Saccharomyces cerevisiae S288C: one gene and its partners. Changing the gene in region 1 together with any one later gene gives a genetic interaction. Each region holds a gene or a part of one and is shown on either strand. Other genes may lie near its edges.

The links.
Region 2: mutations in ERV14 (region 1) and GRH1 together harm fitness more than expected from each alone (negative genetic interaction), as found in Saccharomyces cerevisiae (4 studies listed by BioGRID).
Region 3: mutations in ERV14 (region 1) and ARV1 together harm fitness more than expected from each alone (negative genetic interaction), as found in Saccharomyces cerevisiae (5 studies listed by BioGRID).

Annotation. Positions count from the first base shown.
Region 1 is NC_001139.9:400,253-404,387, reverse strand, and holds ERV14 (cornichon family protein), read left to right. Parts: upstream 1-3,100; coding exon 3,101-3,517; downstream 3,518-4,135. Other genes in the region: DUP240 family protein MST27, read right to left, coding at 1-701; pheromone-regulated DUP240 family protein PRM8, read right to left, coding at 1,086-1,799. UniProt on the Saccharomyces cerevisiae protein: Could regulate export of the bud site and axial growth sites selection protein AXL2 and possibly other secretory proteins from the endoplasmic reticulum in COPII-coated vesicles. Seems to be required for axial budding pattern in haploid cells.
Region 2 is NC_001136.10:1,475,516-1,479,691, forward strand, and holds GRH1 (Grh1p), read left to right. Parts: upstream 1-1,723; coding exon 1,724-2,842; downstream 2,843-4,176. Other genes in the region: EMI2 (putative glucokinase), read right to left, coding at 1-961; protein disulfide isomerase EUG1, read left to right, coding at 3,093-4,176. UniProt on the Saccharomyces cerevisiae protein: Involved in the spindle assembly checkpoint. Involved in ER to Golgi vesicle-mediated transport by either facilitating USO1-dependent and -independent tethering or increasing target accuracy of fusion events of COPII-coated vesicles.
Region 3 is NC_001144.5:621,584-625,920, reverse strand, and holds ARV1 (sterol homeostasis protein ARV1), read left to right. Parts: upstream 1-2,037; coding exon 2,038-3,003; downstream 3,004-4,337. Other genes in the region: methionine aminopeptidase MAP1, read left to right, coding at 1-753; putative signal sequence-binding GTPase GPN3, read right to left, coding at 900-1,718; CSC1 (Csc1p), read right to left, coding at 3,100-4,337. UniProt on the Saccharomyces cerevisiae protein: Mediator of sterol homeostasis involved in sterol uptake, trafficking and distribution into membranes. Also regulates the sphingolipid metabolism. Required for growth during anaerobiosis and sterol uptake.

The DNA.
Region 1 (4,135 bases):
TCCGTCTTTTTAAGAAGCGCATCGATATTGGGATGCCGCCTTCGCCAGTAATTTTCCTGAGCTTGTCGTTCGATCTCCGCTGCCTTGAGCAAAAAGTTTCGATAATTCAGTCTGGAACTAGGAGAAGCTGACTCGATGGCATCTTCAGGCTTAGCGGTGACCGGAGAATTGCCAATTGACGTGGCTGTTTGCTTCTTGGGGGTTACTCCCTCAACAAGGCGTAGAAAATAACGGTAGCAATCCTCATCGCTGTAAAAGTAATACGGAGTATGCCATTGCCCATGATTAAACAAATATTGGTTCATGTTGTATGTGATGATCCTCCATTCTTTCCCTTCTACTGCCGGTTTACGTGTGATGACATCCACTAAAAGCTCGGTCCTAAAATTTCGACGACTGACTAGCTTTGGATTACCATCACCTAATATTATTAACAATACTACAAGAGAAAGATAAGCGTAGTATGCAGAATTGAAAACACAAGCTTCGTTGTCATTAAAAAATATAATTAATAAAACCAAAACCCCTATTACCAGGGACAAAATCATGACTGGTGTATAGCGAGCGATTTCATAGATCCAATAACTCAAGTACGAACGGAATATGTCCTTAGGAAGAGCCACATTTTTCTCAATTAAATGTGCACTAGGTTCGTTGAGTGTATCTAACTTGACGTCGGTACTTTCTAGAGGGGTCTGCATGACCAATATATACCTTGTATCGTCTATGACTATAGTATTCCTGATTGTCTCTGTGCCATTGCATACTGATCAAATGTTTTAATAACGCAGGACCCTTTTCACGATTGTTTTTCATCTCTAGAGGCATTTTCAATATTGCATTTTGCGAAGTGATGTATAATGAAAATGTGGTAATAAGGCAGTGAGCTACTTTGTCACAACAAAGTACGAGAACAGATGAGGTTCCGTGGTGTTTTTGGGGCAACTGCATTATTTGGAGCGCCGTATATATTTATATCCTATTACAAAAAATCATAAATGACACTAAATTTGACACCTACTAGTGTCGTCAATCGAGAAGTAGATCCTTTGTCAAGTTGTGTGCTAGTGTCTCCCGTCTTCTGTCTAAAAAAACTCATCGACACCAGGATACTCTTGTCGCCAATATTCCTTTTGAAATTGTTGTTCGATTTCGGCTGCCTTGGTGAGGAGCTTTATAAAGTTCGGTCCGGCACTAAAACTAGAAGACTCAGCGGCTTCGTTTGGTGTGCCAGCGGTTTCGTCATTTGATTGTGCGTCTTTAACATTGCTGGCTGACGATTCCTTTTGCTTCTTGAAAGTTCTTCCCTTAATAAGACTTAGAAAATAACGGTGGCAATCTTCATCACGGTAAAAGTAGTAGGGAGTGTTCCATAAATCGTTATCAAATAAATACTGGTTCATCTTGTATGTAATTGTCCTCCATTCTTTCCCCTTTACCGTAGGTTTCCGTGTGATAATTTCCATCAGTAGCTTACATTTGAAATCTTCATCACTGATCTGTGGTCCAAACCTGAGTATTAGAACTATCACTAAAATGCCAGAGAATATGAGGAGAAACCCTACAGAAACCCCAACGCAATTTTCGTTATCATGAAAAAGAATAATTATTGAGATTAAAACCCCAATTACTAGAGACAAAAGCATGACCGGTGTACAGTGAGCTGCTTCATATATCCAATAACTCAAGTACGAATGGAATATGTCCTTAGGAAGAGCCACATTTTCCTCGATTAAATATGCACCGGGTTCGTCGAGAGAATCCGACTTGGCGTTGGTATTTTCTGAAGGGGTTTGCATGTTGAATTGATATCTTGTCTTGTGTAAGGTTATTATATGGTTTTGGAGGTTGTTATGCTGATTCGAATTACGACTTGATCTTGATACTAATTGAGCTTTGACGAAATATTTTAGCAATTCAGAACCCCTTTCATATTCTTTTTCTTCTTTTCATTTTTAGAGGCGTTATTTCACTAATAGGTACAGCCTCCGAAATAATACGTAATTGAAGATATGATAATAACAGTACGAGCCTTTTACAGGGCCATTATGATCATGAGTGAGATCCAGAAAAGCACATTGCATGGCAGTCGGATGTTGAGAATTGGGGGAATTTTGAGATAATTGTTGGGATTCCATTGTTGATAAAGGCTATAATATTAGGTATACCTAATATACTAGAAGTTCTCCTCGAGGATATAGGAATCCTCAAAATGGAATCTATATTTCTACATACTAATATCACGATTATTCCTCATTCCGTTTTATATGTTTCATTATCCTATTACATTATCAATCCTTGCACTTCAGCTTCCTCTAACATCGATGACAGCTTCTCATAACTTATGTCATCATCTTAACACCGTATATGATAATATATTGATAATATAACTATTAGTTGATAGACGATAGTGGATTTTTATTCCAACAATCTCAACATTCACCCATTTCTCACATTTATCTCAAAATCCACCCATTTCTCAATAATATATATGGTAAGTAACCAGTTGTCAAAACAGTTTATCAGATTAATTCACGGAATGTTACTTATCTTATATATTATATAAAATATGAATCATACTAAGTGGTGGAAGCGCGGAATCTCGGATCTAAACTAATTGTTCAGGCATTTATACTTTTGGGTAGTTCAGCTAGGGAAGGCCGGGTTTTATCTCATGTTGTTCGTTTTGATATAAGGTTGTTTCATATGTGTTGTATGAACGTTTAGGATGACGTATTGTCATACTGACATATCTCATTTTGAGATACAACATTTTCAGTTAATTTGTTTCCGATATAGTGTAACGGCTATCACATCACGCTTTCACCGTGGAGACCGGGGTTCGACTCCCCGTATCGGAGTATTTTTTTGAAAGTTTTTTTTCACGTTAGTTCCGTGAAGAAAATTTTTTTTCTTCATTTCGGAGAAAAAACAAGGAAGGAGAAAGATTTAAGAGTGATAGCTAGATCATGTATTCCTTAATACGAAGGAGAGACCTGGATTTTTCTCATATTATTATGTCTCACTGCCTACTTAACAAAGACATTTACCTTTGAACTGCAATTAAAGTAAAGTAAAAAAATTAAGAATAAAAAGAAAAATGGGTGCTTGGTTATTTATCCTTGCTGTTGTTGTCAACTGTATCAATTTGTTTGGCCAAGTGCATTTCACAATACTATACGCTGATTTAGAAGCTGACTATATCAATCCAATTGAATTATGTTCTAAAGTTAACAAGTTAATTACCCCTGAAGCCGCCTTGCATGGTGCTTTGTCATTACTATTCTTACTGAACGGTTACTGGTTTGTATTTTTATTGAACTTACCAGTTCTAGCTTACAATCTAAACAAGATCTACAATAAAGTTCAACTTTTGGATGCTACCGAAATATTCAGAACTTTAGGCAAACATAAAAGGGAGAGTTTCCTAAAGTTAGGTTTCCACTTATTGATGTTCTTCTTCTACTTGTACAGAATGATCATGGCTTTGATTGCTGAAAGTGGTGATGACTTCTAATCCAACAAGACATTGAAATCCAAAGAAGACTGAAGGGCCAAGAATAATAGACATACTTAATGGCCGCCCATAGATTGGAGGAAAACTGAAGATAAAAAAGATAAATACACAGAATGTATTAATTCGTGCTTCCCTTTTTTCCTTTTTTGCTTTTTTTCTCAATTGTCGGTGGGAGTTATCAATTTTTTTCGTTATTACCAGCATCTATTAAAGTAAAATACCGGTGAATATCGGTAAATAATAGGTTACTGTATAAATGTACATATAAATATTTGTATAGTTAGTATGCCATACAAAATAAAAAAAAAAAAAAAAAAAAACTAAAAGGTTGAGAACTTAAGGGTGAGCATGACTGTGAAATTTTGAAGAGATGCAGTAAGCCATCCCATATCTATTGCTCCAGGGCCCAGAAAAAAAAAATAAAAAATAGAACTTAAGTTGAAACTTAGTGCAAAAGATATATAATGAAAAAAGATAACCAAATCTGAATCTAAATGAAAATGAAAATTTCTATACATAAATAACGAAGAATAAAATACTAAAATGAAAAAAATAAATAAAAAAGGTAAATCGTAATAAGAGAAAAAAAAAGGAAAAATGTCAAAACGTAATCATGAA
Region 2 (4,176 bases), on another chromosome or scaffold:
GATGGTAACCTGGATTTGGAGAAAATTTTTGGTCAATATCGATGTCATACTTTGTAGCAGACAAATGTTTCAATTCATTGTCGAAAGAACCCCATTCGATGTTGATGCACATTTGGGTTTTTCCTTCATGCAGCAGTCTTGTTCTGAGCTCATCTGGTAGCTTCTTGATGTTTTCAATATCCTCCATATAGCAACCGTTAGTACCAGTACCAAAGATACAACCAATGACAGGCTCGCTAATCTCACCAGCACTCGATGGACGAGAGCCTGAAGTGTAGCAGTGGGATAGGAAAGTGCCAACCGTGTCGTTGGTCAAAGCTACCACATTAATCATAGAGAGCCCCTGAATGTCTAATTGCTCCTGGTATAACCTCACGACATCCTTGCCGACCGTGTCTTCAATCTTGAAGCTTTTGGTCCATCTGATTAAAGTACCGGAACTCAAAGAGGTTTGGTCAACGGGATATGAGAAGGTAAATCCCATTTTCAAAGGTTTTATGTTCTCCCCCGTGGACTTCAACAACTCAGGATGATGCTTCCTAACGAAGGCCCTTGTACGGCGACCCAGGTAGCTAAACAGCTCCTCGCTGGTGACATCCTTGTCATTTAGATATTCTTCCGGAATCTTAGACTTCAATTGCTGCATATCAAAGGTTCCGTCACCATTCAAAGTCACAGAACACACTCTGAAGTGAGTCCCACCTAAATCTGCAGCCAGCAAAACACCACGTTCCGTCCCATTGGGCAAACTGGTTACATATGTAGGGATCATGGGTAGACCCTTGTCCACCGTCTTTTCTTCGCCTACAGAGGTGTTATTCAACCCCTTTTCCATACATTCAATGAAGTACGCTGTTAGTTCGTCCAACTTTGCTGCATCAACCTGCAATGAGGAGCAGATCTCAACCACTGCATCTTCCAATGCCTCAGCATTGACTTTATGTAAATTTTCAAATGACATTACTGTGTATCTATGATTCGATTCTTGTACAATTCTTCCTTGATACACTGATATCTGTTTCTATTTAAACTTCCTATAAGTATGAGACGTACAAAAGAACACGAGACAAGATGAGATTTTACACTTACACAGAATCGACTTTATATAATCCCGAATACATGTTTCCCCCCCCTGCATCGCAAGCATAATAGAATTCGACGACCCGATCTTCTTCCTCTGTCTTCCACACACACAAACACTAATTCACTCTCACTCTCTCACTTTCCCTTTCGACGACACACACAAAAAGACTTTCTGGATGCCCCGCGTTTTTTGTCACTTGATTCTTCGAACAAAGACGCAGGCAACTACCCCTGAAGGGCCCACCCGAAAGTAGTTGCTACTGCTCGTTGCGGTGGCTGCCAGAGTGGCGACGTAGCGTTGCGTTGTGGCTAACATTGGTGAGACAACCCGATTAAATTACTTAATGGGCTCTCCCACCGCCTTTGCACCCAGTGACAGCCATTTTGAAGATAGCATCGGGCTGGCTTCCAAATAAAATCTAGGTCGTTTCTATTAAGTTCGTTTCGTTATTTTTCTGTCTTCGCGGCGGACACGCAAGCCGACGACGACGAGGTTTAGTTGCATTTTGGCTATCATAAAAGAAATGGGCTTGTCGCAACGGGATCAGGACCAAGAACAGGGGTGCTGAGACTACTACTGTAACTGCGACCGACACAGCGTGCGAAACTAGGGAAGTAAAAAGGTATAGGAAGAAGAACTATGTTTAGAATAGCTAAAAACCTCGTACGGACTTTTGAGCAGAGCGTGCAAGATACCCTGGCACTCTCGCAGGACTCGAGCAATCTGGACGCTTTCTTTCAGTCTATACCACCAAATTTGTTGTCTGCTCAGTTGGAATCACCCGTAGATGCGGTTTCTGAAGGTGTTAAGCACACCAACGTCAATGAAACGCTTTCCGGTCTCCGCATTGTTTGGGTGGACGAGATGCAGTTCCAACTGCAGTCCTTTTTCGACTATATAGTAGGTTTCAATGATGATCCGGTGCCGGTGGTCAGTAATCAACACGGATTTTCGTACCCAGATTACCGTCGTATCACATCCATCTTCAATGAACACTGTGGCCGAACTTTGAAGGTCAACATATGGTCAGCTAAAGGAGGCACGTTCAGAGACGAGTATATCAGCATTATATCGAAGGAGAGCGACGATTTGGACGATGTTTCTCTAAACCATGACGAGAGGAGGCCATCTAGTGGGGAAGCGCACCAGTTCCAAGCACTCGGGTTCAAAGTCCAATGGACGCCTTTGATAGCTTCCACTTTCACATACCATATCCTGAACGTGAACATCCCAGATGGACCCGCCCAATCGGCAGGGCTCATCCCAGATGAAGACTACATTATCGGCTGCCAAGATGGCCTGTTGGCCACGGGAGGGGAGACGCTTTTACAAGATATTGTTAGATCAAGAGCAAACTACGATCTGGTCCTTTATGTCTACAACAAAGTTTCTGACTGTGTGAGACCAATCACAGTTCATATAGGTCCCGACGGCAGGTTGGGTTGCAACGTTGGATACGGGTTTCTTCACAGGATTCCAACAGTAAAGCACTGTCCACAACAAGCACAGCAGCAGGGGCAAGATGACAACCCTGTTCCTGTTCCTGTTCCAGTAGAATCTGAGACGGCTTTTGTGCCATCAGCATTCACAGCACCACCGGTGCCAACAAAGAAGAAATCAAAAAATAAAAAGGGTACCCAGCCATTGGCAATGGATGACTATTTTAATGAAGGCAGAGATAAGTCATCTACCGCTGCGAAGTCAGCAGAATCTGACATCCTCGCCCCACCACCACAAAAACAGTCATCCTCTGATTAACTTTCCTGGTTAGTCTTTTGGTTTTGTTTCATAGCAAAATTAAATATATATATATAAGCTTGCTTTCCCTTCAAAACACGTAAACGATAGTTGGCAATGTACGAAAAGTACCGAGACTTTTTTTCAAAGGCACGCGTGTCCTTTTTTGTTAAGACAATAGATATTTTAGCATTCAGAAAGTTTCAATTTCCAAGACTTGACGTTTCAATTATATGGCAATCTCCCAACAAGCACCCGCTCATATAATACCATGCAAGTGACCACAAGATTTATATCTGCGATAGTCTCGTTTTGCCTGTTTGCTTCTTTCACGTTGGCTGAAAACAGCGCAAGAGCTACGCCGGGATCAGATTTACTCGTTCTAACAGAGAAGAAATTTAAATCATTCATCGAATCTCATCCGTTAGTCCTCGTCGAGTTTTTTGCTCCATGGTGTTTGCATTCTCAGATCTTACGCCCTCACTTAGAAGAGGCCGCCTCTATTTTAAAGGAGCATAACGTCCCAGTTGTTCAAATTGATTGTGAGGCTAACAGTATGGTTTGCCTGCAACAAACTATAAATACCTACCCAACCTTGAAAATCTTTAAAAATGGTCGTATTTTTGATGGTCAAGTCTATCGCGGTGTCAAGATCACCGATGAAATCACTCAGTACATGATTCAGCTATACGAGGCTTCTGTCATTTATTTAAATTCCGAAGATGAAATCCAACCATACTTGGAAAATGCAACTTTACCAGTAGTAATAAACAGAGGCTTGACAGGCTTGAATGAAACGTATCAAGAAGTCGCACTGGACCTTGCTGAGGATTACGTCTTTTTATCCCTTCTAGATTCAGAAGATAAGTCATTATCAATCCACTTGCCAAACACTACAGAACCAATTCTGTTTGATGGAAATGTAGACTCTTTGGTCGGAAATTCCGTTGCTCTAACTCAGTGGTTAAAAGTGGTAATTTTACCTTACTTTACCGACATCGAACCTGATCTCTTCCCCAAGTACATTTCTAGCAATTTGCCGTTGGCTTACTTCTTTTATACTTCTGAGGAAGAATTGGAAGATTACACTGATCTTTTCACGCAGTTAGGTAAGGAAAATCGTGGCCAAATAAATTTCATTGCATTAAACTCTACAATGTTCCCACACCACGTTAGATTCCTAAATATGAGAGAACAGTTCCCATTATTTGCTATCCATAATATGATCAATAATCTGAAATATGGTTTACCACAACTACCAGAAGAAGAGTACGCGAAATTAGAAAAACCACAACCACTAGACAGAGATATGATCGTTCAGTTGGTAAAAGATTACCGTGAAGGTACTGCCAAGC
Region 3 (4,337 bases), on another chromosome or scaffold:
ATTAGAAAGGCATGTATGTTGGGTAGAGAAGTTCTTGATATTGCCGCTGCCCATGTCAGACCAGGCATCACTACAGATGAATTAGATGAAATCGTCCACAATGAAACAATTAAGAGAGGTGCCTACCCTTCCCCTCTTAATTATTACAACTTTCCTAAATCGCTTTGTACCTCTGTCAATGAAGTTATTTGTCACGGTGTGCCCGATAAAACTGTCTTGAAGGAAGGTGATATTGTCAATTTAGATGTTTCCTTATACTACCAAGGTTATCATGCAGACTTGAATGAGACATATTATGTCGGCGAAAACATTTCTAAGGAAGCTCTTAATACTACTGAGACCTCAAGAGAATGTTTGAAACTAGCCATTAAAATGTGTAAGCCAGGTACCACCTTCCAAGAGTTAGGTGATCATATTGAAAAACACGCTACCGAAAATAAGTGCAGTGTAGTAAGAACTTATTGTGGACATGGTGTTGGTGAATTTTTCCATTGTTCCCCAAATATTCCCCACTACGCCAAGAATAGAACACCTGGTGTTATGAAACCAGGTATGGTTTTCACCATCGAACCTATGATTAATGAAGGTACTTGGAAGGATATGACCTGGCCTGATGACTGGACTTCTACCACCCAAGACGGTAAACTGAGTGCTCAATTTGAACATACACTGTTGGTTACCGAACATGGTGTTGAAATCCTAACAGCCAGGAATAAGAAATCACCAGGTGGCCCAAGACAGAGAATTAAATAGATCTAGGTATTTTTATCTTATACATATAGAAACCAATAAAAAACTTGAACTTGTACTTTCCCGAGTCCGAATTGGTTATTATGAGAAGCTATTTTTTTTTTTTACCTCTTTTTATATGAATCAAGCGTACATAATTTTCTCTATAACTATTCTTCGACATCTATTTGGTCGTTAGGCTCTTTCTGTTCTTGTCCTTCTGCCCATTGTGTTATATCATCGACATACGATAATATGGTTTCTATACTGTCAGGATTATTAGATTCCAAAGGTAAAAATTGAACCATACCGAAATCATCGACGAGGTTGGCTATGCACTGGTTCAGTCTTAGAAATTTAGGGTTGGATGCTTGATTCATTCCTTCCGTTTCCATTAATAACATTGCATCGGGATTCAAAAATCTTTTCAGTTTTTTCTTATTGATGTCGCCTTTTATCAAGTCTAGTTTGCTCAACACATTGATATGGGGTAGTTCCAATAGAATCATCGCAGACATAGCAGATAGTGCACCGCTAAAAAATTTTGAGCTATCTATCACAAATGGCGCTTCCAAAAGATATGTGGCGCAAAGGTTGAAATTCAGTTGTTGAGTTAAATGGCGCACTATGTTCGGTAAGACAGGGATATGCGTGTAGAGTTCAATTTGACCGGGACAGTCAAAGATTAAATATTCATCGTTGAAATCCCCGATCTCTTCGTCAAGCCAGTCTAGATTTTTCAAAAGATATTCGAAGCAATATATTAGCGCACCATTGGGGCCCAAATCCATTTCTTCCATGACATCATCTAAGGAAATTAAATCTCTAATGTCAATAGTAAATTCATACTTGGTAGCTTCTGCGGCAGGGTCTAAATTTACAATATGAGCTCTTCGTCCTACAGTTTGCATATGTGATATAATGGAATTACAAAATGTGCTTTTCCCCGCACCTGCAGGTCCTAATACCATGACACCAACGCGAGACATTTTCCAATGCTGATTACTCTATTTGTACTTGTTAAGTTTTTTTCACGATCAGGATGACTTGCCAACCTCTTAATTATTGATCTTTCTTTTTTGATCTTTCACCTCATCATTTTAGATTTTTTGCAAAATTTTTCTTAGTATTTTTTCAGTTTAGGGACAGCGGGCCAAATTGAATAGCCCTATGTGAACAATTGATGATTCAGAAACATCAATGGCATAAATCAAGCTGAGAAATTCTTGTCATTGCATAGAAGGAAGGTTTGGTGCGTCAGTGAACGGATGAAGCGCATCAAAAAGTAGATATTAGCTGTGATAAACGATGATTTGCATAACGTGCATGCGGCCCGTAGATTCCCTTTATACAGTGTACTCGAATGACCACATTCAGCTGACAGATTGTCCATATTGCCAAGAGACAGTAGACAAATATGTTGAGATAGATAATGTCCTGTTATTCATTGATTTGCTTCTATTAAAAGCAGGTGCATATAGACACTTGGTATTCAATGCTTTGGAATTGCATCTCTCAAAATATCCGAAAAGAAAAGCGCTAAATGATTGCCAGTGTTTGCGTGACTATACGCAAGCTTTGTTATTTAACGTAAAGAACTGGTTTTGTAAATATGACCGGTTAAATCGCCTTTGGCTTCTACTATTATCATTCGAGATTTATTTAACTTGGGTTACTGAGGAGAGTAAATACATCTACTATTTGAACCGTAACAATAATGATGGTAAGCTCATCATGCTTTCAAAAAAATTACCAGAGAGCTTCAAATGGGACTCGGCAATCATGCGCAATACCATTACAAGTAAAGTGTTTACCTGGAGCCCACCAATACAATATCTTTACTTTGCAAGTTATTGTATTCTTGACGTTTCTTTATTCCACACCTTTACCCAGTATTTCATACTGAAAAAGTTGCATTGGAAGCACTATTCCGTTTCTTCAAAGGATGTCATATCATATACGATCTTATTATCGTACGGTGCCAAAATTTTTCCGATATTGATGTTGATATGGCCTTATGATACTCTAATTTCGATGAGTATCATTAAGTGGGTAGCTAATCTCTATATTATTGAATCGTTGAAGATTGTAACTAATCTTTCCTATTGGAATATCATAAAGATTTTTATAAGTGTGTCTTTATTACGATATTTCATGGTTAAGCCAATACTTATAGTTTTCGTGGCAAAGTTTAACTTTTCAGTTATTAAGAATTTAATACATCAGGAGTTTATACTACTACTACAGAAGTCAGGAACTTATTTATTGTTATAAGCAAATAAAAAAATATCCAGTATTACTTGTATCAAAAATCTTATTTTGGCATTTTCACAACAAAATATATAAATATAGAAATAGCACCTTGGGATTTCAATCCAACATCGGACCCTCTAATTCACTCACAGCGTAAGGGTATGCATACGACTCTTCCTCATTGGCAGAATTCACCGTAGAATTGTCTCTTTCGTACTCGCGAATTGAACTCAATGCGATATATTTTGACAACGGCAAATAGTTCTTCTCGAAATCATATAGGAAACATAATGTCACTACTGGAAGCGGGAAAAGGCAAGATGACAAAACCCATCCTCCTTCGAATCCTGCCAGTGTTCCTGTCATTGTTAATTGAAACAATAGCAATCCAACGATGATTCTTCTAAAAATTAATGGCCATACTTTTCCTGTAGAATGGGGCAAATGATCTGTGGCAAAAATCAATTGATATTTATAGACGTAAAACCCAATAATAAAGTACGCCAGCCCTGAAGTCAAAATTTTCGTGCTCATTACACTGTAGATCAACGTTATAATCAAAATCAGAATTGGCTGTGGTAATTGTAGTCCAAAGTTAAATATCGGTGGATTGTAAAGTTCATTCCGTTGCCTAGGTGTCTTAGCCTTGATTTTCACTAGAGGAAAGCCGATCAAACTACCAACTAATAACAACTTAAACGGGAACATACCAATACCTTGCAATATAATCAAATCGACATAGAATAAGGAGAACTCCTTCACAGATGTAGCAAGTTGATAAGCAATTTTGGTGGTATCGCTGAGGTACGCCCAGTAATTAGATGCTGTACCTGCCAATGTGAAAACTAAGAAAAGGTTGACAAAAATATAAAAGAAATTTTTTGAAACAAGTGAGATTTCCTCTTCGCTGTATGATACCAATCCTTGATAAGAAGTCAAATACTCGTAAAAATAGGGGATTCCAAAGTTAAGCAATGTGAAGAGATAGGTTGGTAATAGCCCCGTTACAATGTTAGCGGCCCACTGGTGATCTTTTAGTAGCTGCCCTACGCTTGGCCAGAATTTCGAAAGTGTTTTCAAATTTAGCAATGTGGCTAAGTATGATACAGGAATGACTAAAAACAAACTTGAAAGGCCTATAAATACGGTAGTAGAATAAACTTTTGTTAACCGGTCCTTTCTAGAAAGACAAACATGATCCCACTTGATATCGTGAGGTGCAGGAGCCAATCTGGTTATGAAGTAATGTACTCTAGGATCTAATACCGCCTGAGCTGCCATTTGCGCATTAGCAACAGAATCCATCGTAACGAATGCCGTAGGTGTTGCGGAGTAGTGTTGTTTCCTCGCTTCAA